Linked DNA regions of Cricetulus griseus. The protein of the gene in region 1 purifies or fractionates together with the protein of each later gene. This does not show direct contact. Links are inferred from orthologs where the notes say so. Each region holds a gene or a part of one and is shown in the gene's direction. Other genes may lie near its edges. The genes, in order: protein POLR1D, DNA-directed RNA polymerase III subunit RPC10, Polr2h, Uxt, Polr3e, Polr1f and Polr3c.

What was found.
Region 2: the proteins of protein POLR1D (region 1) and DNA-directed RNA polymerase III subunit RPC10 purify together in Homo sapiens (affinity purification with mass spectrometry; 3 studies listed by BioGRID and IntAct, with this or other methods). This does not show direct contact. The link is inferred for Cricetulus griseus from reciprocal best matches to the Homo sapiens genes POLR1D and POLR3K.
Region 3: the proteins of protein POLR1D (region 1) and Polr2h purify together in Homo sapiens (affinity purification with mass spectrometry; 4 studies listed by BioGRID and IntAct, with this or other methods). This does not show direct contact. The link is inferred for Cricetulus griseus from reciprocal best matches to the Homo sapiens genes POLR1D and POLR2H.
Region 4: the proteins of protein POLR1D (region 1) and Uxt purify together in Homo sapiens (affinity purification with mass spectrometry; 3 studies listed by BioGRID and IntAct, with this or other methods). This does not show direct contact. The link is inferred for Cricetulus griseus from reciprocal best matches to the Homo sapiens genes POLR1D and UXT.
Region 5: the proteins of protein POLR1D (region 1) and Polr3e purify together in Homo sapiens (affinity purification with mass spectrometry; 3 studies listed by BioGRID and IntAct, with this or other methods). This does not show direct contact. The link is inferred for Cricetulus griseus from reciprocal best matches to the Homo sapiens genes POLR1D and POLR3E.
Region 6: the proteins of protein POLR1D (region 1) and Polr1f purify together in Homo sapiens (affinity purification with mass spectrometry; 3 studies listed by BioGRID and IntAct, counting the BioPlex papers as one, with this or other methods). This does not show direct contact. The link is inferred for Cricetulus griseus from reciprocal best matches to the Homo sapiens genes POLR1D and POLR1F.
Region 7: the proteins of protein POLR1D (region 1) and Polr3c purify together in Homo sapiens (affinity purification with mass spectrometry; 3 studies listed by BioGRID and IntAct, with this or other methods). This does not show direct contact. The link is inferred for Cricetulus griseus from reciprocal best matches to the Homo sapiens genes POLR1D and POLR3C.

What each region holds. Positions count from the first base shown.
Region 1 is NC_048597.1:82,963,438-82,966,538, forward strand, and holds the end of protein POLR1D, read left to right. Parts: intron 1-1,820; coding exon 1,821-2,079; 3' UTR 2,080-2,511; downstream 2,512-3,101.
Region 2 is NC_048599.1:60,364-64,827, reverse strand, and holds the start of DNA-directed RNA polymerase III subunit RPC10, read left to right. Parts: upstream 1-1,540; 5' UTR 1,541-1,620; coding exon 1,621-1,731; intron 1,732-3,158; coding exon 3,159-3,246; intron 3,247-4,464. UniProt on the Homo sapiens protein: Core component of RNA polymerase III (Pol III) which synthesizes small non-coding RNAs using the four ribonucleoside triphosphates as substrates. Can mediate Pol I proofreading of the nascent RNA transcript.
Region 3 is NC_048597.1:67,932,085-67,936,563, reverse strand, and holds the start of Polr2h (DNA-directed RNA polymerases I, II, and III subunit RPABC3), read left to right. Parts: upstream 1-1,607; 5' UTR 1,608-1,949; coding exon 1,950-2,022; intron 2,023-2,999; coding exon 3,000-3,083; intron 3,084-3,328; coding exon 3,329-3,422; intron 3,423-4,457; coding exon 4,458-4,479. Other genes in the region: Clcn2 (chloride channel protein 2), read right to left, coding at 1-1. UniProt on the Homo sapiens protein: DNA-dependent RNA polymerase catalyzes the transcription of DNA into RNA using the four ribonucleoside triphosphates as substrates.
Region 4 is NC_048604.1:125,813,161-125,817,545, reverse strand, and holds the start of Uxt (protein UXT), read left to right. Parts: upstream 1-1,455; 5' UTR 1,456-1,549; exon of another isoform or gene 1,550-1,726; 5' UTR 1,727-1,736; coding exon 1,737-1,834; intron 1,835-3,606; coding exon 3,607-3,688; intron 3,689-3,826; coding exon 3,827-3,894; intron 3,895-4,162; coding exon 4,163-4,270; intron 4,271-4,385. UniProt on the Homo sapiens protein: Involved in gene transcription regulation. Acts in concert with the corepressor URI1 to regulate androgen receptor AR-mediated transcription. Together with URI1, associates with chromatin to the NKX3-1 promoter region.
Region 5 is NC_048596.1:79,721,324-79,725,089, reverse strand, and holds part of Polr3e (DNA-directed RNA polymerase III subunit RPC5), read left to right. Parts: intron 1-61; coding exon 62-169; intron 170-462; coding exon 463-512; intron 513-1,397; coding exon 1,398-1,517; intron 1,518-2,387; coding exon 2,388-2,473; intron 2,474-2,777; coding exon 2,778-2,822; intron 2,823-2,918; coding exon 2,919-3,010; intron 3,011-3,766. UniProt on the Homo sapiens protein: DNA-dependent RNA polymerase catalyzes the transcription of DNA into RNA using the four ribonucleoside triphosphates as substrates.
Region 6 is NW_023277425.1:46,268-50,527, reverse strand, and holds the start of Polr1f (DNA-directed RNA polymerase I subunit RPA43), read left to right. Parts: upstream 1-1,319; 5' UTR 1,320-1,354; coding exon 1,355-1,608; intron 1,609-4,260. UniProt on the Homo sapiens protein: Component of RNA polymerase I (Pol I), a DNA-dependent RNA polymerase which synthesizes ribosomal RNA precursors using the four ribonucleoside triphosphates as substrates.
Region 7 is NW_023276806.1:59,778,331-59,782,096, forward strand, and holds part of Polr3c (DNA-directed RNA polymerase III subunit RPC3), read left to right. Parts: intron 1-2,287; coding exon 2,288-2,392; intron 2,393-2,517; coding exon 2,518-2,610; intron 2,611-3,766. UniProt on the Homo sapiens protein: DNA-dependent RNA polymerase catalyzes the transcription of DNA into RNA using the four ribonucleoside triphosphates as substrates.

The sequences.
Region 1 (3,101 bases):
GGTCCATGGAGCAGCAGCCTGTAGCTTCAACCCGGTTGTGTTCTGGTAAATGCTGGTGCTTTCCTGAAGTGTCAGTCTGGAGACAGAGAGGGAAGCACCTACAATATGAGGCTGTATTTTACACCATTAGCTTTTTACTTTGAGCACTGGGAGTTGAACCCAGGGCTTCTCACGCACTGCTCAGCTACATCCCCAGCACTGCTGGGAATGCCTGATTACTGGAAAGCAAATCACTCCCCCGGTCTCTGCAGACATGTTGTTTCCCAGATCCATTTGGACTTGCTGCTTGCCTTAGGTATTTCAGGCGGCCTGGCATGCACTGGTAGATAGACAACAGGAGGTGATCCCAGTTCAGTGAGGAGGTTGAGAGGGTGTGTGTTTGTTACAAAAATACTGCCCTTTGCAGTATTTCAGGACTGCAGAAATCCAAACCTTCACTTTATACCTCAAGATCATGGGGCCCAGAGAAGTTTCCTGAGACTTCATCCCCACCCCCAGCAGACTCTGCTGAGGGATTGAAACCAGGTGCTATCTGCTTCTGTACCAAGTCACTGCTCTTCTCTTCCTGCCTGGGAATGCTCTGTGGTGCTTACTGGCTCTGCATGTGCTCCTGTGGGATCTGCATGTGCTCCTGTGGAATCTGCATGTGCTCCTGTGGGATCATGGTCTGGACAAAGGCCTGTGTGCTGCGGCACAGGAGACCTTCCGCTGGTCTCAGCTAACCTGTGTATGTCCCTCCTGCCTCTGTTCCCCTCAGGCTTCTCCCACATAGCGGAGATACGCACACTGATAGCCGGGTTTGTCTTTGCTACATAGGCCTAATGTGATGTCCCATAGATGGGAGAGACTCGGGTTTTGAAAATGAATAAATACTTTTATATACATACATTCTCCCCCATGCACACATATACCCACTGTTTCACATTACTTTCTGGTACAGTGTTGGGGACACAGTAAGCTTTGGGAGTGTTGAATGAAAGGTAATTAAGGAGTATCATTTCTCAGATGGCCACATGCTGAGGCACTTGATTGCTAAGTTGTAAACTGAGCTGCCATGGGTGATTATGGTAGCTGTGGCTGCATTAAACAACAACATGAGTTGTAATCACCATAGCATCAAGATAAATATCACCTCTCTGCATGGGGAGGGGACACACTTGCCTCTGCCTCAGTCTTTCCAGAGGCGACCTTCTAGTCTTGTAGCATCCAGAGTATAAAGGGCTTATGTGGAGCAGATGTATCCCTGTCACTGGCGTGGGCATGCATTTGTCTGTGGACTAGTGGACAGTGGGCTGCCCTTCATGTAGCCTTGTTTTCATGACCAAGGCATTTGTCTGCTGTAAATCATCATTCCCCAGACCTACTGGACTTAGAGTCAAGTGATGCTTCTTTGCCCTGACATTGTGTATGCTGTGACTGTCCTGTGTTCCTGAGTGGCCAGCCATCCTTAGCGCTGTGTGCCTCTGTTCATCTTCTGCTGGATGGAGATACCCCAGCTACAAGTACAATGAAGCACTTCCACCTGCGATTGCTTCCCTGGTTGCTTGTCACTTAGACTATGGCGACTTTTCTCCAATTCTGCCTTAGCCAAGGTGTGGTGTCAGGTGACCCTGCTGTGGTGGTGTCTGCAGAGTCTCCTGAGGTAACACTGTAATGTTCAGACACAGGGCCATTGTACTGTCTTTCTATGATCTTGCTGTTCCATCCTGAATTGTTACATGCCCCAGGCTGGCCTCAGACTCATGGCAGTCCTCCTGCCCCAGCACCTCATGTTTTAACTCTCTTGTTTATGTTTTCTTCTTCCCTCTTCTCCTCCACAGGATGAAGTGTCCTCTTGCTGGCACAAATAAAAGATTCCTAATTAACACAATTAAGAACACCCTGCCCTCCCATAAAGAGCAAGAACATGAACAAAAAGAGGGCAGCAAGGAACCTGGCCAGAGTCAAGACCAGAAAGAGACAAACTCAAAGAAGCACAGAAGCCGCTCGTCTAAGCGCAGCCTGCACTCAGCCCGAGGCTCACCCCCAAGGAAGCGGGCCTCCAGGGACAAGGGGGACCACCGAACCAGCAGGCGATGAGCAAGCTGCAGGGCCAGCCCAGTACTGTGCCTGCCACTGGGTGCAGTGAGGACAGGGAGGTGACAGGACTCTGACACCTGAGAATGACTTTCCAGTGGGTCCTTTGTTTTAAGATGGCTGTTGTTGTGTCATTGTTGTTGTTAACAGGCAAAACAAAACAAAAAACAAAAAAAAACAAAACAAAAACAAACAAAAAAAAAAACTTTTACTAAAACAAGCCCTTGTCCTGAAGGTGTCGTGGAAGATGACTTAGCTTTGCTATGCACATCCATGTTGCTTTATCCTGTCTTGTTTGCAAGTTAATTTCAAAACAAGCAGTTCTAGAATTTGAAATTTTCAGGTTGTTAAAAACTAGTCCCAGTTTTTTTGATGTATTGCACTTTTTGTGGTCATTTCCCAGAATTTCTCAAAATAAAATACTTAGAAATGCTATGCTTTCCTCTTTTAGATGTCAAAGGCTAAGCTCACAGTCTGACTAGTGGCCATCCTGATAAAACTCCACCACGCTGTGTGTTTTCTAAGTGGCCAGGATGAGGAGTGCTCACACAGCTTTGGACTTGATGTTCCATTCTCAAACTCATCCCTTAGACAAGACTGCTTCCTTATACTTACTTTTAAATATACATGGTCTGGAGATGGTGGCTGCTGAGTCTGGAGAATAGGACTATACATGACCAATTACAAGGGAAAAACAGCGAGACTCTTGCACTCCTATAGCATGTGAAGTCCAGTCCATTCATGTTCTCATCCAGTCAGTCAGTCAGTCAGTCAGTGCTCTCTTAGAGAACCAACATGAAAGCAAGCACATGCTAGTGCCACATGAACTATTTCACTACTGCCCAAAAAGCTAGGTTATGTGTGTCTGTCATATTTAAATGTGTGGAGTACTTGTTCAGCACAGCATTTGCCTCGTCTTAAACATTTTGGGGACCCCCCTCCCTCTGGTGTTCCCACCTTCCATATTAGTGAGTTGTCTAGTAAATGGCTATGGATTCTCTCATTTTCATTTTGAAAGGAAAAAA
Region 2 (4,464 bases), on another chromosome or scaffold:
GGTTAGGTTTCTATGAACAAAAGCAACTTGGGGAAGAAGGTTTGTTTGGCTTACAGATCACAGTCCATTGTTTACTGAAGCCAATGCATACCAATCACAGTTCCCCTCCTTCCTCTCTTCCCGCTCCTCCCACCTCCCATCCACCACTCCTTGGTTCAGAAAGCCGCGAACTTCCCATGGGCGTCAACAAAGCATGATATATTAAGTTGAGGCAGGACCAAGCTTCTCTCCCTGCATCAAGGCTGGGTGAGGCATCCCAGCATCGGGAACAGGTTCCAAAAAGCCAGCTCATGCGCCAGGGACAGGTCCTGATCCCACTACTAGGGGCTTCACAAACAGGGCAAGCTAAACAACTGTCACCCACATGCAGTGGGCCTAAATCGGTCTGATGCAGGCTCCCTAGCTCCCACTATCTCAGGTCAGCTGTTTCTGGGTTCCCCAAGTTACGATCTTGACTCCCTCTTACTCGTACAATTCCTCCTCCCTGACTGTGGATCTCTGCATCTGCTTCCATCAGTTACTGGATGAATGCTCTCTGGTGACAATTAGCGCAGTCACCAATTACAGGAGAAGGCCAAGTGCTCTTAAGCTGAACCATTTAGCCCCTTCGTAGTGCTTTCCTATTTCACGCATGACCTTCGGCTTAGTGGTGGCACCGCCCACAACGGGCTGCGTCCACTTCTATCAATTTGCATTCAAGAAAATGCCCCATTGAGTTACCTACTTATAAGTCTGATAGAGACATTTTCCCAATTGGGATTCCTCTTCTAGATAACTAACTTGTTAAAGTTAATAAAACAAAACAAAAACAAAAAACCCACAGGAGTCACCCCAACCCCTCCCTGTGTAGGTTATAGAATTCTTGCAGAGGATTAAGGAGGTAAGACATTTAAAAGAGGTCTGAGAAGGCAGAACTGGGAAACGTAAAGGAGTCTATAGGAATGAGACAAAAGAACCAGATGGAGGTCTGTGGAGAGGAACTGCTGGTATTGTAGGTCAGAGTTGATCTGTAGAATTGAATCTAGTGAAATGGCATAAGTGAAATAAGTGAAATGGCAGAACTGGGACCAGGTGAAGAAATGGTCAGATTGGAAAGATGGTAAGTACAGATAGACAGGTATTCATACGTTAGGCAGACAGCAGCAGAGAGGTAGTATCAACACTAGGGGCTGAATTAAAGTCCCTGGGACATTAGGTTAGTCTCTGCCTGTCAGTCCCGGCTCAGAAGATGCGAAGCAGCCGGTCCTGCGCCACTGTGACAAGACCTTCCTGAACACGTCCATGGCTCGGAGTGCGGCACTGTCTTCTCATCACCTGTACCTCCCTCCGAACCTTATTCCCGGGTAGGTCAGGCGTGTCAGCTGCCAGCCCCATCTCTCGGGCCATTTAAGCCTGTGCTTGCGTCAGGGAGATCCGTGCGCACGCGCAGGCATTACAGGAAAGCTGGGAAGGCAGACAGCGCACTATTGGAGGGTGGGAAGGACTATCTGCGTTGACCAATGGCATGTGAGAGCTGCCTGCCGCAGTGCCTTCTGGGTACGTGCCAGTGGCCGCTTCTATTGGGCGTCTGCGGCCGCGGAAGCTTTAGACAGTAAGAGCTTACTTGTTGGATCTGCAGCAATGTTGCTTTTCTGTCCGAGCTGTGGAAACGGACTAATTGTGGAGGAGGGACAGCGTTGCCATCGTTTCGCCTGCAACACTTGCCCCTACGTGCATAATATCACACGCAAGGTGAGTCCCAGAGGCGAGCGCCTCCTCCACTGTCGGTGCGCTCAGACTTCCTGCGGGCGGTAGTTTTTTTTTTTGCTCACCTGTGGAAGTACCTCAAGTTCAGTAGTTGGTAATCCAGTGGCATCGCTCCGGCCAAATCGAAGCCACTCTTCTGGTCACTTCAGAGATTTCTGCCTCTGGCTCTCTGCTGCCGGTTTTGTGACACCCAAAAGGTTGCGAGATTTCCGTTTTACCTCTAGGCTGAACCACGCCTTTAAAACCTACAGCTGTCCTCCGCACGCCAGGCTCCAATACGCTTATCACCTTCTCTGATCTCAAATCTTAATGTTCTTTTTGTGGCTCTTCTTGCTCCCAGATCCTGTCGCTATTCTGGAGGATCTTACCTCCAAAAGTGCACGCAGTACTGTTAGCTCCTTCACGTTCCTTTCGCCCGAGTTTTCTTTCCCAACGAGCCATTTGGCGCTCTCTCTCTCTCTCTCTCTCTCTCTCTCTCTCTCTCTCTCTCTCTCTCTCTCTCTCTCTCTCCTCCCTCCCTCCCTCCCTCGGTGTGGGTATGTCTGTCTGTTTCTCTCTTCCTTTTCCTTTATCTCTCTCCCTCTCCCTCTCCCTTTTGGCTGTTGGTACATGCCTATAATTCCATCACGTGGAGAGGCTGTGGCAGGAGATTAAGTTCAAGGCTCACCTGGGCTGCATAGCATATGTATATGAAAATTAAGTAAACGAAGAAACCAAACCCAGCTCTTCCAGTTTATTCTCATTCCTTTTTCTTTTCCCAGGATTCATCGTCTTCTAATATATGTCATTGTTGCTGCTTTGTGTGTGTGGTGCTTGTGTTGGAACCCAGAGAAGCTGCTTTTACAGCCCTTTGTATTGTCTACCTTTCCATTCTTGTTCCTCCTTAACTCAGTGTCCTGAGTTCTGTGATTTCAGATGTGTATCATCAGGCCTTGGTGATACCTCATTTTTAATGTTTGCACTTAAGAGCTGTATGGTAGGAGTTTGGAGTCTGGATATGTGATAAGATTGAATGGTGACATAATTTTTGAAAATTGAAGGATGACTAAAGCAACGAAATGTGTCCCTGGGAATGCTGGGATACCCAGATAAATGGTGCTATTAGGCTTTTGTCTGTCTTTCATGTTGGGTTATTAGGGGTATGAGAGAAGAGCATGGTTTAACTCAGCTGTCTTCCTGCACTGTCTGCTGTTTCCTCCAGTTTCTAGGGGTCTCTGACATTGAAACTGTGCTGTTTTGGGAATATCTCAGTCACAAAACCCCTACATTTTAATGGCTCTTGTCGCTCTTTGAAGAAGATAAATTTTGTATCCATTTACTGAGTAGAGGAAATGCTGGAGGAAAGTTATAGTTTGGTGGCCTGCTTTTAAAACTATATGATTTCTTAAAATCTGATGACTTGTTTTTGTTAGGTAACAAACCGAAAGTATCCAAAGCTGAAAGAAGTGGATGATGTGCTTGGTGGAGCAGCTGCCTGGGAGAATGTGGACTCTACTGCAGGTGAGAATTTTCCCATTACAGAGCCAGTGACTCAACCCTATTTATTATTACTTATTATTATACTTAATAATAATAAATTTATTGTTATTTATTATAATGCAACCCTGTATATTGTTAGGACCAGTAAGATGGCTCAGCAGGTAAAAGCACTTGTTTCCAAACCTGTTAACCTGAGTTTGATACTTGGAGCCCAGATAGTATAAGGAGACAGCTGATTCATGAAAAGTTGTTTACCAACTCCCACCCCCTCAACCAGTAGTTATAAAAGAATTTAAGAAAATATAAACAATAATGACAAATAGCTTGTGTTTGCCAATACAGGAAATATTTTGATATGTTGTAGTCACAATATAGTCATTCTTTAAACTCTAAGCAAGGCATTAAGACCTTTTTGTTTGTTTGATTTTGTGTTTTGAGACAGGGTTTCTCTGTGTAGCCCTGGGTGTCCTGGAACTCTCTCTGTAGACCATGCTGGCCTCGAACTCAGAGATCCATTTGCCTGCCTGCCATGTGATAGGTTTAAAGGCATGTGCACCACCACCTGGCCATATTAAATTTTTTTAAAGCAGATTTCTTTCAAGGATTAAATATACTGAAAGGAAAATCACCATATTGATACCTGCTCTGTTGTTTCATTTAGATTCTCAGGACAGATATGGGCAAGTATAAGTAAAAATCTGGTACATATTCTCTTCTTGAAACAAATTTGGGGTTTATTACAAAAAAGTTTCAATGTTGATTTAAACTTAAATATTGATGGTTGTTGAGAGGAGGCGAGAGGTGTAAAAGGACAGTTGTCCATGCTCTAGTGGGTACAGGCTTCTCAAGAGAATTCTGTTGTATGTATTTTCAAATACCAATATTGTAAAAATGATTAGCCCTAGTCTTTTTTTATTTTTAAAAATGTTTATTAAATTAAAAACAATAAAAAAATCTTATTTTACATACCAATCCCAATTCCCTCTCCATCCTGTCCTTCATTCCCCCCCCCATCTCCTCATTCCATCCCCTATCTCAAAATAAAACAAAAGCCTCTACTCATTTTCCACTTTCAAGGCTTTTGCTTATTTTTGAGATAGAATCTTGCTGTGTAGCTCAGGCCAGCCTTGTAGCAAGCCTCTTGCCTCAGTTTCTTTTTTTTTCCTAGATTTTTTAAAAATTAAAAACAATCTTATCTTACATATCAATCCCAGTTCCCTCTCTCCCCCATCCTCCCAT
Region 3 (4,479 bases), about 15 Mb from region 1:
TCTCGGTGCACTGTCCTCTTGCCTCCCTTGGCTTCTCGGGCTCTGGCCTTGACTCAGCTCCCGGCCCGCTGAGCCCGCGCCCGCACCCGTCCCGTCCCCTCAGCCCCGGCGGCCGAGTGCAGAGTGCGACGGTCCCCGGGCGCGCGCCGCAGGCTCAGCCTCTCGCTAGCGTCCCCTCCTTGGCGGGCGGGCCGAGGGCGGTGCCCTGCTTGCTGCTCCGCCCTGGCCCATCTGCAGGGGCGTCCGGTCGGGCTGGGGTCTGCATTGGAGCCGCCTCCTGGCCTCCGGAGAAGCGGCAGGGGGCGCTTGCAACGCGATCTTGCACCCCTTCTCTGGGGAGGCCGGGGGCTGACCCGGCCCCGAGAGGGTGCGGGGCCGGACGGGGGCGGGTCCGCTGGCACGTGGAGGGGACGGGCTCTCGGGCGGCTGCAGCGTTGTGCGGGAGGGGCTGAGGATGTAGTGACTCCAGGGCTGGGGCAGGGGGCTGCTGACGAGCTATCTCGGGCTCTCCAGGCCAGACTCGACTGGGGCAGCCTCTGCTTCGCGTTTGCTGGCGGCTCAGACGGGTCTGGGAGGATTCCTGAGAGCCCGCTCCCTTATCGCCTCCCTTCCTCCTTTCTTCTTTTCCTCCGGGTTCCCCCGGGAAGGTGCACCTGGAACTGCTAGGCCTGGAGATCGGGGCGGAGGTGGAGGTGGGAGGGGACGGGAAGGGGTGAGGCCCGAGGGAAGGGAGCTATTGGTGCGGGGGAGGCTGCTCCTGGGAGGCGGGCGTGGGGGAGCAGAGGTCGCTCCTCCCAGGCATCGCTTAAAGGGGGAACTTGAGTAGCTGCTGACGCCTCGAGGAAGCGGCCCAGTGAAGCTCTACGTTGTCTTTCGGGATCCTTGGAAGGATAAGAACAGTGTGGCGTTGGCACAAAGAGGATGGACAGCGTTAGGTTGGTGCCACTGGAGAGGACGGTGCCCAGAAATCCGTGTAGAAAGAACAGCATCAGGATGAAGACTCATTCAGCAAACAGAGGGTGGTGCTCAAGGGGAGCGTACGGTGCCCAGTACGGGGGCTGCGATGAAAGGAGATAGCACCTGGAAAGAGCGCGCTGCGAGCTGTCGTTTCCCAGGGAAAGGCCAGTGTCGGGTGGAAGCGCACTGGATCAGTGTCCAGAAGAGGGTAGTGTAGTGGGGTGACAGGCAGTACCAAGTTCAATTGGCAGTGTTCTAGGGGATCAGAGTTAGTGCCAAGCAGGGCCAAGGGAAGACCGGCGTGGCGAGGAGGTGAAGCCCCAGGCGAGGGCACAATGCGGGCTTTCCTTTCCCTGACAGTGACATCACGGCAAATTCCCAAACCGGACGGACCCGGCTCGGGTGACGTCTAGCTGGTCAGAGCCAGCTCGGACCAGCGTGGGGAACCTTGGTGGCCGTCCGAGGGGCTGGGCACTGCGTCCCGCTGGGCGGGCGCTCTGCGGGTGGAGTTCGGCTTCACCCTCCTGCAGCACGGACTGTGCCCTCGGCGGGCACGCGGACCGCAGGGAAGGGCTAGGGCCGGGCTCCCTCTGGGCCAAGGATCAAGGTTCCTGGCTGGGTCCGGTCCCGGAGCCTTCCAAGCATCGGGATCCGGGGTCTGAAGAGGGCGCCCTAGAGCCGGGCGCATCGCGGTACCCGCCGGGGGTGGGACTTAGTCTGTCCCCGCCTTGGGCGGAGTCACCGCGCTTTGAGACTCGCCCACAAGGTCCGAGCCACTCCGAGGTGGCCTTTCCCGGCGGAAGTGAAGGAGCCCCGAGGGGAGGCAGCGGAAGTGGCTGCGTTGCTGAAGCCTGTGCGCATGCGCCCTGCGGCTGGTTGCCGCTTTTTGGGGCGGTACTCTGCCCTGTCTTCTTTTCTCCACGTGAGGGGGTGCGCGAATTCCCAGTGGTGGCCGCGCGCTCCGCACCTCTGCAGTTCTCGTGCCCCTTACGATGGCGGGCATCCTGTTCGAGGATATTTTTGATGTGAAAGACATTGACCCAGAAGGCAAGAAATTTGACCGAGGTAAGGTGTGTAGGGGAGGTGAGGAAGAGGCCAAACATGCCCACCCACCCCAAGTGGCCCGTCCCACCCTCTCGGTACCTCCCTCAGGAAACAGTGTTTTTCATAATGAGAAACTTGGGACAGCTTTTCCTATGATGTTTGCGGTGTCTGGTGCCTCGGTGGCCCTTGGCTTTGGGGTTGGGAAAGCCCTGGACACCTTTCTGACTCCTTATTCAGTATTACGTGCTGTATGTACCGTGCGCCTCTCTCGCACACTTAAGTATTGTAGTAAGAAGTGATGGTGCCCGATCTATTTTGTTACTTAAGGCCGTGCAGCGAGTTACCTCCCTGTCTTCCTAACCCATAGTTTTGTATTGCCCCAAGAATTGTTAGCCCTTTGCCGAGTCCTCTATAAATTTCATGCAGCTGACTGCTTGGTGTATTCATTTCCCAGTAATCCGGAAGTTGTTTCTTCTCAGTGTCACTTTACCTGGAGACAGACCCCCCCCCCCCCAATACAGATTCTCTTTGTAGCTCTGGCTGTCTTGGAACTTGCTTTGTAGACCAGACTGGCCTTGAACTCAGAGATCCACCTGCCTCTGCCTCCCAAGTGCTGGGATTAAAGGCGTGCCCCCCCCATTTTTAAAGACAGGTGTCAGTTCTCAATACACCCTGCCTATTCCCTCCGCAGAGTGCCTACTAGGAAGTGGGGATCTCTGGACTAATGACTATCTTGTTCAGAGTTGAGTTTAGTCTAAATCATCCAGGTGTGCTTAGAGCCTAGAGACGGGTTGCTGCCAGAGAAGTTCTGCTTCTTTCTTGGGATCCTGACACTTGCTGAGGTGTTTACTCCCTTTCTTCTCTGAATCTGATTTGGATTGCACTCTGTGTCTGTGTCCCAGAGCAAGGCTAATGGCTGTGGACTAGTTGAAAGATTTGTTCTCCTGCATTCGACCCCGACTCTGTTGCCTGTAATTATGTCTGTCGCTCTTTCCCAGTATCTCGGCTGCACTGTGAGAGTGAATCTTTCAAGATGGACCTCATCTTAGACGTGAACATTCAGATTTACCCAGTGGACTTGGGTAAGTGTCCAACACAGGAGCTAGCAAGTGAATTTTTTTGTTTGTTTGTTTGTTTTTCGAGACAGGTTTTCTCTATGGCTTTGGAGGCTGTCCTGGAACTAGCTCTTGTAGAACAGGCTGGTCTCGAACTCACAGAGATCCGCTTGCCTCTGCCTCCTGAGTACTGGGATTAAAAGCATGTGCTGCCAACGACTGGCTTTAGCAAGTGATTTTTATCTTTGGTTTCCGCTTGATGCTCTTTTCAGGTGACAAGTTCCGATTGGTCATAGCTAGTACTTTGTATGAAGATGGTACCTTGGATGATGGTGAATACAACCCCACAGATGACAGGCCTTCCAGGTGAGGCGGTGGTAAAGGAGGGACTAAATAGATAAGTAGTACATAGAATGGTCTTTATTTTACTGCTAGAAAAAGACATTACTGCACTTAGAATTCACACAACCAGAACTGGGTGTGATGGTTTGTGTCTGTAATTCCAGAACTCGGGAGATGAGGCAGGAGGATGAGGAGTTCAAGAACACCATTGGCTGCACATCAAATCTGAGACCAACCTGGGCTGGAGACCCTGTCTCTAAAAAATTTGAAAAAAATTTCAAACAACTGGCTTGATTACTTAGTGAGAGCAGTGAGTGGAAGCTTGTGAACTGCAGTTGTTTATTTATTTGAGACAGGGTCTCACTTTGTAGTCCTGGTTGGCCTGGACTATGTAGACCAAGCTGGTCTCAAACTCACAGATGACATCCACCTCCTCTGCCTCCTCAGTGTTGGAATTAAAGGTATGTACCACCACACCCTGCAAATGTAGCTTTTTTAAGGCCTAGAAAATGATTACATAGTAACCTAGATTTTGGTGTGACAGAAAGACTGTGGAGTATTGGGTCTGGTGGTACACACACTTAATCCCAGCATTTAGGAGGCAGAGGCAGGAGACCTCTGTGAGTTTGAGGCTAGCCTGGTCTACATAGCCAGTTAGGACAGCCATGACTATATACTGAACTTTTACTTCTCAGCTCCACTACTTCCATCTTCCATTTCCTTATCAATAAAGTACAGACAGTCATTTCTAGTTCACTGAATTGATGTGAAAGCCAAATAAGGTTGCGCTTCCATGGCATTTGTTGTTATCAGTTTCTATTTTAATTATTTCTATCTTTTTGGTTTTTCGAGACAAGGTTTCTTTGTGTGGCCGTGACTATCCTGGAACTTACTCTGTAGACTGTCAGGCTGGCCGAAAACTCACAGGCCTCTGTCTCTGCCTCTGCCTCTGATTCCTGAGTGCTGGGATTGTGCCACCATGCCTGGCTCAGTTTCCATTTTTAAATGTCTCTTACACTATTGATTGCTGTGAAAAGTAACTTTGCCTATTGTTTGTAGGGCGGACCAGTTTGAGTATGTC
Region 4 (4,385 bases), on another chromosome or scaffold:
TCAAAAGGGAAAAACATTTAGGGGAGTCTAGCATCTAGGTTATCCTCCAGGCTCAGCCCTTCACTTGCTAAACATTTAAATAAAAATAGAGAGAATTATTCACTCTTAACTACAAGTTAGCCCATCTTCAGTAGAGGACTCCAATGATGGACCATATAACTATGATGTGGGGTGATTAAGCACAGCATTTTGCCAGTCTCTGCCTAAGTCTGGATCATGGAATGCAAGCAACCAAGCAGAAGTCATCCAAGAACTTCTTAAAATTTGTGTCTGTTTAAATATTTTTTATGTGCTCCTGCCCATTCCTTTTACGGAGGATGAAACCCAAAACCATGTGTGTGAAATATACGTGTATGTTTTGGGGTTTTTTGTTTTGGTTTGGTTTGGTTTGGTTTGGTTTGGTTTTGGTTTTTCGAGACAGGGTTTCTCTGTGTAGCTTTGGAGCCTATCCTGGCACTGGCTCTGGAGACCAGGCTGGCCTCGAACTCACAGAGATCCGCCTGCCTCTGCCTCCCAAGTGCTGGGATTTAAGGCGTGCACCACCAACGCCCGGCGTATGTGTTTATAAAATAAGCAATATTCAAATTTACCAATTGCCACAGGATATACTGCCCTCTTTATAGATTAGTACCATAATCCTTACTAGTCTATAGGCAATCTTGTGCTTTTTAAATTATCAAATGCTTATGTGAACTCAGTGAGGTTTGTTTGTTTGTTTGTTTTGCTAAAGAGGACTTGAAGGTGGAAGGGAAATGAGGTAGGAGGGGTCTGGGTGGAGTTGGAAGGAGGGAGTAGGGAGTGGATATGGCAAAAATACATTGCATACATGTTATGAAATTCTCAAAGAATAGAAATGATTTTAAAAGAAAAAAAAAAAGGTGGGGACTACATAGATGGATCTATGGTTAACAGCACTGGCTATTCTTGTAGACGCCCCAGGTTCGATTCCCAATGCTCACAAATATTCAGTAGCTCCAGCTCCAGGGGATCCGACGCCCTCTTTTAGCCTCCACGGGAACTGCACGTACATAGTGCACACGCATGCAGACAAAAAAGATAAAATAAGAAAAAAAAAACAATTAAGACCGGCGAGAAGGCTACAGAAATGGTTCGGCATTTAAGAGCACAAAAGGTTCTTGCAGGGGATGTGAACTCCGTTACTACCACCCACATCATGGGAGCTCACAACTGCATTTAACTCCAGTACCGCTGCCGCGCTCGCTCAAACATGCGCGCGCGATTCAAACAAGCTGTAAACGATTTACTCCCTCTCCCTACCTTCCTGTGCGTCCAACCTCCCTCAGAACCCGGCAAAGCTCATTAGACTTCACCCGAAACAGCTACCCGCGGCTGTCAACCACTAGCCGGCTAGCAGACAGCCCGCCCTCTGACTTCCTAGTATTCTCCAGGGTTTCCTTAAGATCCCGCCTCAGCGCTCCACTTTCAGGCGGTCTCCTCTCATTCTGGACCGCCCCTCCATGCTGGAAACACGTCATCCACCCGCGCCACCCGGAAACCGCGGTTCATTCTAACCTTAGGTGGCCCTAAGGTAAGCACGGCGCTTGGGTACCGGTGAGTGACTGCGTGTTAGAGTCGGGTTGGGCAGAAGGAGGAACCCCGTAGCATGAGCCGAAAGAAGTCATACCCAACGTTAAGAGGTTGGAGAGAACTTTGTGAAGTTAAACAGGAGCACTCAACGTGGTTTTTCTCCCTCCTCACTCCCCAGGAAGCCTATCATGGCGACACCCCCGAAACGGCGGGCCTTGGATACTGTAGGAGAGAAAGTGCTGCGGTACGAGGCCTTTATCAGTGACGTACTGCAGCGAGACTTGCAGTGAGTGACAACGCAGATTCTAGGCGTGACATTTGAGAAATTCCACGTGGTGGGTGGGACAGAATCCCGGGAAAACTTTCGGATTGGCCGGGAAGAGGGGTTGACGTCCGGGCTGCGATTTGGTTGGAACTTGGCCCTTGTAGTGGAGCCTCTGGCGTCGTTCGTCGGATTAAAATAGTCATAAAAACCCACGACATTTCTGACTGGGCCATTTAGCCATTACTTATGAAAAAGTTGTACATCACCTCTCCTCTCTGTGCTTTATAAACTTTGCTCATCTGTGGAATGGGAAAGTTTATGGAGCCTTCTTAATGTGGTGGTTTTGAGTTTTAAATGTGTCTACCCAGGTAAAGAATGTAACCCAAAGCCTAGACTGATAACACAGGACTGTAATTCCAGCACGAAGGAGGCAGAAGCAAGAGGATCTTCGAAGTTGGAGACCAGCCTGGAATATAAACTTGACTGTCTCTAAAAGGGGGAAAAAATTAGAATGAAGCCAGGCTCAGGCTCTGTGGTGCATGTCAGTAGTCCTATCTAGTGGAGAGGTGGAAAAATTCATTTCTTTAGCCAGGATGTTCAAGCCAGCCTTAACAGTAGAACATGGTTTTGATAAAATAAAGCCCAGTGTTGTGACACAGGCTTGTAATCCCTGTACTTGGGATGGGTGAATCAGGACGATCCAGAGCTCAAGATCATCCTCAGCTATATTTCAAAGATGAGTACAGCCTAGGCTCTGAGACTGTGTCTCAAAAAAAGAAGACAATGGAGCCAGCAAGATGGATTGCCTTGCTTCCATGTCCTGAGCTAGCTCTCTGGGATCCACATAGTGAAAACAAAAAAACTCCCAAAAGCTGTCCTATGACTCACATGGGTGTACCACGGCACCCATACATGTACACAAAATAAATACATTAAGTAAGAATACTTTTTAAAACTTTACATAAACCCAACTATACTACAGTTGTATTAAGGCTGAGAGGAAAGAACTGTCTTGTGTACTCACAAGTAGCCTGGGAAACTCAGTTCTTGTCTCAGAAAATAAAAAACAAATAACCTGGATAGTTTTGAAAAGGAATTTAGCTCCGGTGGATGAAACATACTAAAAACTCAATAATTAGATGATTAGTATTGCTGTCATTATTAATGTGAACAGAAAGTTTGGAACTAGAGCAGTGTGAGCATGGAAGGTATGTGTAGGGTGAAGATGGAGCATTTTAATTGGCATAAGGCACTGAGTACAATGCAGTATTTGTAATAGTGATGGATAGAAAGGATACAGTGTTTACCATTTGGCTGGCATTTTATAGTAAACACTTGAGTCTAATGGTTCCTATGAGGTAATACTGTCATCTCTATTTTATATGTTGTGAAACTAAGTCCCAAATAGGTTTCCTAATGCCAAAGTCACATTGCTAGTAAGAGTTAGAGCTCAGGATGAAATACAGTCTGACTTGTATTTATTGAAATACTTGGTGTGTCTTTCTCTGTCTATACTATGCGCTCGCTCGCTCTCATGTCTCCGTGTGTGTGTGTGTGTGTGTGTGTGTGTGTGTGTGTGTGTGTGTGTGTGTGTGTGTGTGTGTAACACAGGATCTCACTATGTAACCCAGGCTGGTCTTGAACTCATAATCTTCCTGCCTCAGTCTTTCAATTACTGGGATTACACTCGTGAACTACCATAATTGGCTTAAAATGCCTTTTAGGCCATGATGTGAGATATCTCAAGAGGAATAGGGCTGCCTAATGATCACTCTTCTATTTCCACGTATCAGAAAGGTGCTGGATCATCGAGACAAGGTATATGAGCAGCTGTCTGTATACCTTCAACTGAGAAATGTAATTGAGCGACTCCAGGTAAAGGCTTTTAAATTGGGTATCAGTTTGTATATGTGTACAAAGAAGGAAGATGGGAAGAGAAACCCCAAAACAAAACCTTTTTCCTGCCTTAAAAATTGGCCACTGACACCTACTTCTTTTCTCCTGGCCCTACAGGAAACTAAGCACTCGGAGTTATATATGCAGGTGGATTTGGGCTGTAACTTCTTCGTTGACACAATGGTGTGAGTGTATTCCCTCCCCTCCGAGTTTCTTCCTTCTTTCATGCAACAAGTATTTCTTAATATGTTCTATATACCAGACTCTGGTCACTTTTATATTGCACTAGGATGTAAGCTACATGCTGTGGGTGTGAAGTGAATGAACATGAAATACCGGCCCTTACAGAGCCTTAACTTTAGGGAACTGGAGGGAATAGGAAACACCTTCAACTATACAATGTGCTAAATGGTAATAAAGACTTCCTCCACTTCCTCTGACTTCTTTCCTCAGCCCAGATACTTCCCGCATCTATGTGGCCTTGGGATATGGTTTTTTCCTGGAGTTGACACTGGCTGAAGCTCTCAAGTTCATTGACCGAAAGAGTTCTCTCCTCACAGAGTGAGTTCATTCCATGAGAATAGTGTCTAAAACCACCTACATTGCCTCAGGGTGCAGGACAATGGTACAGCATTTCTCTAGCATGTGTCAAGTCCTGGGTTCTATCCCTATCACA
Region 5 (3,766 bases), on another chromosome or scaffold:
AAGCTGGGTATGTTGGGCTGTGGCTTACAGGGGCAGGTTCAAGCCCTTCTTCCTTTGCCAGGTGAACTCCACCTGACACCTTTACATGGCATCCTACAGCTTCGGCCCAGCTTCTCCTACCTGGATAAGGCAGATGCCAAGCACCGTGAGAGAGAGGCAGCCAATGAGGGTGAGCCAGCTGACAGTCTGTGGTCTGGGTGGGCTAGGTTGGGCCTAAGAAATTGGTCAGATTGTGGGATGATTACTGGCACTGTAGACTCCTACCTACTGAATGCCCCTAACTCCACATTTAGGGCAACCAAAAATGTCCCCACAGATTGTTAGACATTGCCTAAGAGTTAAAGTTAAGACCACAGCCCAAAAGCCGCAGACCTCCCCCAACCTTGGCCTTCCTGGGGAAGGGTGGTGTTGGAGTGGAATGAGCAGTCCCAGCAGAGGCTGTACTGATAGCTTGCTTTGCAGCAGGGGATTCTTCTCAGGACGAGGCAGAAGAGGACGTTAAGCAGATCACGGTGAGCTCTGGTCCTGGTAGGAGGGAACATCATGGATGGCAAAAGACAGCAAGAGCTACAGAATCTGAGCAGAACGGACTTCCCCATCCCTGAGAATAACAGTCACATAGTATTGTTGAGTCCCCTCATCTGCTGCCTGGAGGGAGTAACCTGCCCCCTGCCCAACCTGACTCCTGTTGTAAATAGCATAGCCTTGTTCTGTGTAATAGCTGGGATCCTGGGGCGTGGCAGGTGTTACCTGGGAACAGGGAGGTACAGCCTAGGAGCCCCATGAAGCCACACAGGCTCACAAAGTTCCATGTTAATTACCTTTATGATTCTGCCTTTTTGATGGGTACAGAAGAGTGGTTAGCATGCTAATCTTGACTTTGAAAGATTTAGAAGAATATTAGCTTTCCATTCATGATTATGAAGTTCCTCCTATTTATGCATTATTCATGTATATGTAGCTTACAATGAGCATGAAAGAAAAATGCTGCTCAATAATGGTGCAGCAGGCATGGAAATGGCTATAGAGTTTGCACATCTTGGTGGGCTGTGCTCTCCTGAAGTGATGTGGCAGAGAACTTAAGCCTTGTCCTGTTCTCAGCAGCTTGTTGGGTAGCCTTTAAAACTTCCTGGGTAATCACCCTCATCTGAAAAGGTATGCTTTGTTACCCCTGTGGCCCAGCTGGAAAGCCGTGGCCAGGGTCAGCAGAAGCAAGAAAACAACACTCATCTTGCAATGGCAACTCACAGACTGAATTTCAAAAGCGAAGAGGGAGGTAGAATGCAAGTGCTATGAAGTGTGTGCGTGTGTCTGTCTGTCTGTCTGTCTGTCTTGTCTGTCTGTCAAGAGCTATGGGGGCCACAGACCCGAGGATGTGACCTTTCCCCTCTCCACAGGTGCGATTCTCTCGACCAGAGTCAGAGCAGGCCCGCCAGCGCCGTGTGCAGTCCTATGAGTTCCTTCAGAAGAAGCATGCAGAGGAACCTTGGGTCCACCTGCACTATTATGGCGTGAAGGTGAGCCTGGGCAGGACCTGGGGGAAGAGCCTGATGCCAGGTAGCTGCTTGTCTTACCTTTCGCTTCACAGTGTGTTTGGGCTACTTGGCTGTAGCATAGAGAGCATGAAGGTACTGTGAGCAGTTGGCAACTTGTCCACATCCACTTAGTAGGTGTCAGAGTGGGAGCAGAGATCCTCTGTTACAGTTTAGGGCTTTTAGCCCCCTAGCTGTGCATGCAGTTGGGCTGGCGTTTGGTTAGTTTTGTACACACCATGAATGCTGATTGCAGATAGATACTTCATCTGGGGTCGCACTAAAGAATCTTCTATCTGTCACATATTCTCAGGTTATTGCCTACCTATTCAGGACAAGTTTTAATATTCAGTTTTCAGGGCTTTGTAGCCTAGTACCTGATGGTACACTGAGTAAAGGAAGTAATTGGACATTGGTTCCTAGGTGCCTGGAATACAGCTTCCTGATCTTTGCAGGAAGGACCAGTGGAAACCTTCAGGAAGAGATTAGTATGGGGAGAACCTTAGATTCAGGGTCAGACTTACATACACTACAGCTTCTTCCTGTGTAGCCCTGGGGAAATTGCCTTCCCTTTCAGAGTCTCAGTTTTCTTGTCTGTGAAACAGGAATAGTAAGAGCCCTGTAGAGTTAGTTACTATGTGAGTAAGCATTGGTACCCAGCCTGGCACATAGCAGTGCTTAGTGAATGCTAGCTCACTTCTAGTCCTTGCTGGTGTTTCTGCATTATAGACACCACATTGCAGAGGCTTTGGGTATGCTGTCTTCAAGACACTGCATATGGGCCTGTGGCTGGCCGTGGAGCAGGTAGTGAGTGGCTGGAGTGGGGTCATGATCTGTTTTGCCTTTTCCCCACAGGATAGCCGTTCAGAGCATGAGCGCCAGTACCTGCTGTGCCAGGGATCCAGTGGGGTGGAGAACACAGAGCTTGTCAAATCACCCAGGTGGGACTGGCTGGTGCTCACTAGAGGCTATGAGAAAGTTTCTGTTGGAACTGTGGCCCATTATCTGTGTGGGCAGGGTAAAGGAGGGACACTGTCCCTGGAGAGGTCCCAGGAGAGTGGCCTGGGATAGGTGATCCTTATGTTCTATAGGGCTGTTGTCTAGGAGCTGGGGACTATTGGGGATGGGAAGAATGAGCCTCTTACACTTCCCCAAGTTTCAACCTGGTTGTGGTCTGTGCTCACATGCAGGGGTGAGGCAGAGTTCACAGAGCCTCTGACACCCCTCCACCCCCACCCCTTACAGTGAATACCTCATGATGCTCATGCCACCCAGCCCGGAGGAAGAGAAGTGAGTAAGGGCTGTCTTCCCCACCTCTCCCAACCCCCAGTATCTCCCACTACCTCCCACTGGCCTTCTCTAACCACTCACCCCTTCTTCTAACAGAGACAAGCCAGTAGCTCCCAGCAATGTCCTGTCCATGGCCCAGCTGCGCACATTGCCCCTGGCTGATCAGATTAAGGTCCTGATGAAGAATGGTGAGTGCTGTTCTCTGCATCAGGGCCAAAGCCAGCAGCCCCTGCTCCCTAGAGTCTGCCCAGCTTGGCAGCTCCATTCTTGTCTGGGCAGATCACATAATGCACCACTGTGTCAGGTCACCCAGGTGGGACTGGCCCTTCAGGTGGGCTTTTGAGCTTTTGCCAGCTGCCTGCCGCAGAATTCTGAGCAGGTTGGCCTGAGCTTTGGTCAGGCCAACTAGTTGGAGGTTCCTGGACCCTGATGGGGCTGAGCACAGTCTCACACGGGATGTGAAGTAGGACTGTTTCACTCTTGGTGCCTTACTGGGCTCCACACAATAAGGACTAGCTCCTTTTTCTCTTAGGCAGAGGCACAGATCCTTTGGGGGCTGAGTCCCAAGCTCTGGGCTTCTCTGAGAAGCCAGTGTAAATAAAGCCTTAGGCCTAGTTGGGGGTGGGGCTCTCTGCTGAACTGTGCCATTCCTGGGCTACTGTAGGGGATTCTGGACCTTCCCCAGGCTTTACCCTGGGCTCCCCGAGGCTTCACAGGTAGTCTGGTTTCAAATCCTGGCTCTACCTTTTCCAACCAGCTGATGTGGGGGAGTTTTCAACTCTTTTTGGACCTAGTAATGACAGACTCTTCTCCGTACTCCTTGGTTTCCCATGTAGATCCTCACATTTGTTCTGTGAGAAACACAAACCTGGCATACAGTTCGCCATCAGCTGTGATTATTGCTGGGCACTGTTGTCATTGCTCACACTTCTAGGAGTTTTGGG
Region 6 (4,260 bases), on another chromosome or scaffold:
GTCAGGTGTAGATTAGAAGAAAGGAGATATGATAGGTAGGATTTTAGTTGGGGGTGGTAGCGGAGGAAGGGAGGGAGAAGGGAACTGGGATCCTCATGTAATTCAATCTTGTTTGTAATTCAAATATATAAAAAAGAAAAAGAACAAAAAATAAAAAAGGGGGATGGAGAGATGGCTCAGAGCTTTAGAGCACTGACTGCTCTTCCAGAGGACTTGAGTTCAATTCCCAGCAACCACATGGTGGTTCACAACCATCTGTAATGAGATCTGATGCCCTATCCTTGTGTGCAAGCAGAACACTGTATACATAGTAAATAAATATTTAGAAAAAAATTAAATTAAAAAATAAAATAAAAAAAGGTAGCGTTGTGGATCCTAGTCTAAATGGCTGTATCTACAGTACAGTTCCACACCCAGTGCTTAGGTGTCTTTGCTGAAGAAGGTAGGGAGGTTGTAGAAGCCACGGGAACAGTTTACTTTGGACAGTGCTCTCCAAATGGAGCCTTGCTTCTTCTTTGAGTCTTCCTGCTAATTTGATTCATATTTAGGTGTACCACAAAGGCCCAAGGCCGATGGGGGGCTTAGCCACGTGAAAAGCATGGCAAGACACCCTCACAGTGATTTAGCAGAAAGAAGAGGGAAGCCAGATTGGAGAGATATGGTGGTTTTGGTTCAGATGTTGCCTTTTGAGATTTGTGGGCTTCTGTGTAGGACTGGGTTCAACAAAGGAAACACACTCCACTAATGCTTCATTCCTTAACTGAAAAACAGCTTCAGAGCATAAGCAATTATCAGGCAGCATTGCAACTGGAAAAGGGCATCCCGATTAAGGCTCAGAAAACCTTAACCAGGCGTGCATGCTTTTTATCGCAGCTCTCCTGAAGCAGAGACTGGGAGATCTCTTAAGAGATCTGAATCAGCCTCTGAGTTTCAAGCCCGTCAGAGCTACAGGGAGAGACACTATCTAAAAACAAAAAAGCCAAAACACACAGCAATAGTAATTTATTAGACCTTGGCCCAGCATTGAAAGCGACTGAAGAGACTGAAAAAAAAAAATCAGGCTATATTGGGCCTCTGCCTTTTTTAGTTCCTAGTATCCAGATCGCTAAAATCAAACTCCTCCCGGTAACAGCGCACACTTCCCAGTGAGAAATGCTCTACCTCTGCGGCCGCTTGTCTGGATTTGGGAACGAGCAGCTGCCCTCTGCTGGTCACACACGTCTAATGCAGCCTCCGGAGATTAAAAAAGTCCCCCCGCCAGGGCCGGTCGCTGGTTGATGATGTCATCGGGCGTCGGAGGCGGGGCGCGGACGCTGGCGTCAGCCGCGCGCCCCGGAAGCACCCAGCGAGCCGCATGGCTGCGGGCTGCGTGGAGTCTCCGCGGCCCAGGGCGGGCTCGGAGCGGCCGGCGGCGGGTCCGGCCGGGGTCGTGCCCTGCCTGGAGCTGCCCAGCTATGCCGCGGCGTGCGCGCTGGTGAGCGGCCGCTACTCGTGCCTGGCGGCCGGCCCGCACCGCAGGCACATCGCCCTGTCGCCGCGCTACCTGAGCCGGAAGCGCACGGGCATCCGCGAGCAGCTGGACGCCGAGCTCCTGCGCTACTCGGAGAGGTGAGGTCCCCGCGCTGCCGCCCTCCGGCGCCCCGCCGCGCCCTGCGCCCCTGGCGGGCCCCGGGATCCCCGCGCTGCGGACGGGCGGCTGCTGCTCGGCCTTCCGAGACGAGGATCCCGGGTCGCCGTCCGCGCCGGGGCCCAGCTCCTTCCTGACAGCAGCGGGAGCGGCTGCGCCCGCCGTGCACACAGCGCTCCCAGTGTGGCGACCCCGAGTGCCCGGGGTCCCGAGACCCAGCGGGCCGAGCTTGCGAAAGCTTCACTTAGCCCCTTCCGGGTGTGTTCTCGTTCGTAGTGCAGTTTTGCTGGCAGTATACCGGTTTCTTTCTGCGTCCTTGGAAGACAGCATATATAAACAAGTCGTTTCCTGGCAAAACCTAGGCGCGTTTGTTGTTTGCTTAGGCTCATCTCCCGAGGTTTTCTTTTCTAGGGCCCAATCGGGGAACGCATGGTGAATATCCCCCTTTGCCTAGTTCTGTTTGTAGGAACCGTTCTTTCGACACAAACAAAATAAAATTAGCATGTTTATATTAAGATGCTCAATTGCAACCTCAAAAACAAAATGTCTCAGAATTACATCTCGGCATTTCAAGCGGAAGTGGTAATGCCTTAGTACTTCATAACAAATTATTGTGGAGGGAGCGAGGTCCTAAGCCTGAGGCGTATGGATTCCCCGAGACATCATTGTCCTTCATTAATTCTGTGAAACTTCGGAGTTGCAGGGATTTCTGTGGTGACTGTTCTTAGGCAAATTATCTAAAGCTGTTACCACTTCTCGAGGATTTGGGCACAACCAACCCCATTACTGTTAAGCCCGCCTAGACTAAGCACTGGTACATCCCGTTATGTCTGTATGCCTTAGGCAGTTGGATAGAAAGACAAATAAAAGTAAAATCCTACTTTCAAAGAGCTTTGAGCTACTGTGGGGATATAAATGTAAGCTAGATCTAGAGAACTGTTAAAACTTGACAGACCTAAAATAAGTTGTATATAGAGAAGTGAAGTTAGATCTTGTAACTTTTGAGAACAACACAATAGGGTGGTAGTTAGATGGTGGCATTCCAACCAGCGAGTGGCATAGACAGATGGACCAGAGCATAGTAAAGTGTATCTGCATTGACGGTTAAGTCAGGTGAAACATTGGATGTCATTGATTCCTCAGTGGAGTTTCAAAGACTGGGAGGTGACTCAGAAGATGGTCATTATTGTTCTTTCCCTTCTGCCTTTGTCTGTCTGTCCCTCTGTCCGTCCCTCCCTCCCCTCCCCCCTTCCTGCCTGCCTGCCTGCCTGCCTGCCTGCCTGTCACTGTCTATTTTACTTTGTTTTTTTGTATTAGACCTATTTGTGTGCATGAGTGTTTTGCCTACTTGTCTGTATATGTACCATGTGCATGCCCGGAGCCCTCAGAAGTGGGTGGTTGTTAACCACCAAGTGGGTACTGGGAATGGAACCTGGGTTCTTTGCAGGAGCAGCAAGTGCTCTTAACTCCTGAGTCATCTGCTTGTGGTTCTTACAGTACAGTTGTTGTTTAATCCACTTATTAGCCTCCAACTGAGACATGGTACTCTCTTGAGAGGAGTAGTGCATGTCTGCAGTCCCTGGGATAGCTGCAATTTAAGAAACAATTTCGAATAGGTGATATTTTAAATAGAGAGAGGCAGTAGACAGAGATCAATTAGCAATTTTTGTGATTATCTAAGGAAAATGATTAGAAGTTTGAAAGATTTAAGAATATACAAGGTGATATTTTAAATAGAGAGAGGCAGTAGACAGAGATCAATTAGCAATTTTTGTGATTATCTAAGGAAAATGATTAGAAGTTTGAAAGATTTAAGAATATACAAGGTGATTATTAAATATGAAAATGCAGGCAATTATGTAGTATTGCCATTGGGGAAAAATTGAAGCAGTTATTATAAACTGATAATTTCTGTAACAGAATTGGATAATGCACCTGTGTAGAATAGAATATACTCTTAAGTTTATCTGGATACCTTCCTTTCTTGAAGGTATGCTTAATGAAACCTTTTTTCTCCCCCAGTACAGATTAAGTTTCAGTATTATTCCAGTATTAAGAGTGTTAATAAAGCAAGGGAGGGTAAAACCATTAAGAATGTTGGGAATTGTATTATAATATTAATTAACTATTTATCCTGTATAGTTTATGTTTTCAGACTTGTCCTCTAGCATTCATAGATCTGTATCCTTTTTAAATTGGGGGAGGGGGAGATTGAGACTCCTCCCGGACTCCCCTTTGCTTAAGTCATCTCACCAGCATTCCCTGCCTGACAGACTTGCCCTTCTTTTCTCAGTGGCAGGATTTTTAAGAAAGGTGTCCCATTTCAACTGTGGACTGTTCTCTTAGAGAAAGTGGTTTTCTAAAATCACATTATGACTTTTAAGTTGAATCTGTAAGAGGCCAGTTGTGGGGAAGTGAAATAAAACAAAGCCCATTCTTTTCCATTTGGCATCCTTGGGTTATTTAAAGATGTCAAATGCACTCTCTCCTAGTAGTTCCAAAGAAGTCTTAAATGCTCAAATCCTCCTTTCAATTGAACTAAGTAGGTTACGAATAGTACTAAATTTTTACATGTGGTAGAGGAGTGGTTTCTTTGGGGGTCGGGGAAGTTTTCTTCAGGAAGTATTTGATGT
Region 7 (3,766 bases), on another chromosome or scaffold:
TAGAATTCGAGGATTGACCCCTGAAGTTGTCCTCTGACCTCCACACCCATGCTATAGCACACATACTCCCACACATGCATACGCACATCATACACTCGTACATAGACATAGAATTAAGCACATACACTCCAGAAAAAGAAAGTAGCATAGCCAACACAGAATAATTGATTTCTCATACCCATAGACCTGCCCCCTTCTAAGCTGCCTTTTCTTAGTGACAGATGCCTACTGCCGTGAGTTTAGGCAAAATTCCTTGAAATTCTTCTATCTCACTAATCCCTATTAGCCCAGTTTCCAAAATTACCTCCTATCTAGCTATTTCTTACCATTCCTGTTATATCCCTAGTCTAAGAGACCATGTTGTCTCTTTGTGTGTGTAGAGGGGGTTCTGTGCACGTGTGTTGGTACCCGTGCCTGTGCACATACGCACTGAAGCCAATAGGAGTTCATGGTCCCCCTCAGTTATATAGTAAGTTCCTTGCTAGCTAGAGCTACATGAGACCCTGTCTAAAAAAAAGAAGAAAGCCAAGCTAAAGACTATTAAAATCTACAAATGTGATCTGCAAATGTTAATCTTCAGACTATGGATATGGCCCGACCCAAAAATCACAGGAGAGTCCCTGGGGCTTACCAGCCATCCTGGCCCTCAAACCCAGGGAGAGACTCTGACTCAAAAAGTTAACAAAAGTAGATGCCTATGGTCTAGAAAGATGTGATAGCGGTTAAGAGCACCTCCTATTCTTCCAGAGGGTCAGAGTGTGACTCCTAGCCCCTGTGTCTATAATTCTAGCTCCAAGAAAGCCAACACCTTCTGGCCACCTTGGCAGACACACATACATAACATGAATTAAAGAAAGAAATGTTATGCTGTGCTGTGGTGGCACATGCCTTTAATCCCAGCACTCAGGAGACAGAGGCAGGCACAGAGGCAGGTGGACCTCTGTGAGTTGGAGGTAAGTTCCCAGATAGCCGGGGCTATGTAGAAAGACTCTGTCTCAAAATAAAAAAGTAGCATGGTGTCACAAAGCTCTAGTCCCTGTACTTAGGAGGTAAGTTGAGAAAATGTCCAATTATGCCACATACTTCAAAAAAAGTCAAATAAGAGCCGGGCATTGGTGGCCCACACCTTTAATCCCAGCACTCGGGAGGCAGAGGTAGGTGGATCTCTGTGAGTTCAAGACCAGCCTGGTCTACTAGAGCTAGTTCCAGGATAGCCTCCAAAGCCACAGAGAAACCCTGTCTCGGGGGAAAAAAAAAAAAAAAAAAAAAAAAAAAAAAAGAAGGCCCTTGTGAACAATAGTGGGACTGGAATTCCAGTAACAACTGAAATTTCATATAGAAGTGAAGATAGGTTGAGTAAAGCCAGAAAGTATAGCTAGGAAGAAAAGGAAAGGAGGGAGGAAAGGGGTTGGAGGGAAATCCTTCTAGAAAGAGACTTGAGCAGGGGAGGAAGGAAAGAAGGAAGGAAGGAAGGAAGGAAGGAAGGAAGGAAGGAAGGAAGGAAGGAAGGAAGGAAGGAAGGAAGGGGAAATCTTCTAGAAAGGGACAAACAGGGTAAAAGCTGATGAGAAGAAAGTAAAAAAGGAAAGTCTGCAAGTTTAAAGGACAGGAAGCAAATGTGATCTGGATCCCAAGACCCAGTAAGAGAACACAATCTGAAGTAGCATTGTGGCCAATGCCCTTAGGTAAAAAGACAAGCATTTTCCTGGGAGAGAGGGAAAAAGGAAAGGAGGTGGTTTTCACAATGTTGGATGAGTTCTGGCTTCTATTCTTCCTGTGACATCAAGGAGAAAGTCATCTGCAGAGAGTAAGGGAGGTGTCAGGTGAGAGATTTGAGGGTAATGGAGAGGAATTACCAGGGAGAAGGAAGATGTTGAATTCAGGGGACTTGAAGTGAATGTGTCAGGACACACTCACTAGTTCACACTCTTGATTTCCTTTTCTCTTAACCCATTTAATTGCTACAGTATCTCAAAACAAATGGAACTTTAACATCTAAGCTTACTAGAAAACTGCATTGTGTTTCTTTTAATTTTTTTTTTTAAGATTTATTTATTTATTTGTCATGTATACAGTGGTGCCAGAAGAGGGCACCAGATCACGTTACAGATGTGATCTGGATCCCAAGACCCAGTGAGAGAACACAATCTGAAGTAGCAACCATGTGGTTTCTGGGAATTGAACTCAGGACTTCTGGAAGAACAGTCAGTGTTCTTAACCTCTGAGCCATCTCTGCAGCCCCTGCACTGTATTTCAATGTTTCTCTCTAATCCTTTTCTCACCTCAGCCCATTCCAGACGATGGGATTTATTGGCAAGTCAACCTTGACAGATTCCACCAGCACTTCCGTGACCAAGCAATTGTGAGCGCAGTTGCAAACCGAATGGACCAGGTAACATCTAAGTGGTTCAGCCAGTGTTGAGCAAGAAGTAAGGTCAATTATTCAGGTGGTTGTTAGCTGTGGCCAGCGGCTCAGAGGCATCAACAGTGAATTCTGAATTCTTGTTTCCTTTCCAGACAAGTAGCGAGATTGTGCGGACAATGCTCCGGATGAGTGAGATAACCACTCCCTCGGGTGCCCCATTTACCCAGCCCCTGTCCTCCAATGAGGTACACTTCAATTTCCTTTTTGTTTCTTTTCTTTTTTTTTTTTTTTTTTTGTTTGTTTGTTTTTGTTTTGTTGTGCTGTGTTTGGGTTTTTGTTTTGGTCTTTCAATGTAACCCTGACTGTCCTAGAACTTCCTAGGTTGCCCTACTATCCCTGAAATCACAGAGACCCACCTGCCTCTGCTCCCCGGTGCTTCACTTAGAGGTCTGCACCACCACCACTCCTGGTTTAGCTGTTTTTGTGCTAGCTCTCTGATAAACATAGGTATTATAACAGTTATTAGAAATAACTTGTAGGGTTGTGTTGATACCTGTGCTTTGGAGGCGAAAAGGAGTTTCTGTTGTTGGAATAGGGCAAAGATTTCTTGGAAATGGTAAGCACAAGACTGTTTGGCCACTTAGGATCCAGCTTTTTAAAATGTTAAGCAATGGGGGTGGGAGAGATGGCTCAGTGGTTGAGAGCACTTGACTGCTCTTCCAGAGGACCCAGGCTCAATTCTCAGCTCACACAAGACAGGGCACAACAGTCTGTAACTCCAGTTCAAAGGGATCTTACTCCCTCTTCTGACTTCATTGGTTGCTGTTTACACACTGGTCATACGTTCATGCAGGCAAAACATATATATGAATAAGGGAATTAGGAAAAAAAAAAAAACAGGCATGGTGGCACATGCCTTTAATCCCAGCACTCAGGAGGCAAAGGCAGGTGAATCTCTGAGTTCAAGGCCAAGCTGGTCTACAAAGCAAGTCCTAGGACAGCCAGGGCTACACAAAGAAACCCTGTCTCAAAAAAAGTGTTAAGCCATTATTATAGTTAAATATCTGTCAAGTACAACATATTTCTAATTGTTTTAAGAATCTAAGTACCAGGTGTGCTGGCACATGCATGAATTTTACCTGTTTAGAAAGATGCTGAGGATTGCTTGAGTTCAGGAGTTCAAAGCTAGACTGGCCTTTCTCATGAAAGCCTTAGCATTTTAGACATTACATTTCTATTACTTTTATAATTACACTTACTTAAGTCTTGTTATTATACTTTATATTATTTCTAAGTTTTTGTAGTTGGTTGATTTGTTTGGACAGGGCCTGGTCTGGAACTTGCTCTGTAGACCAGGCTGGCCTCTGTTTCCCTATGCTATGATTAAAGGCCCTGCTTTCT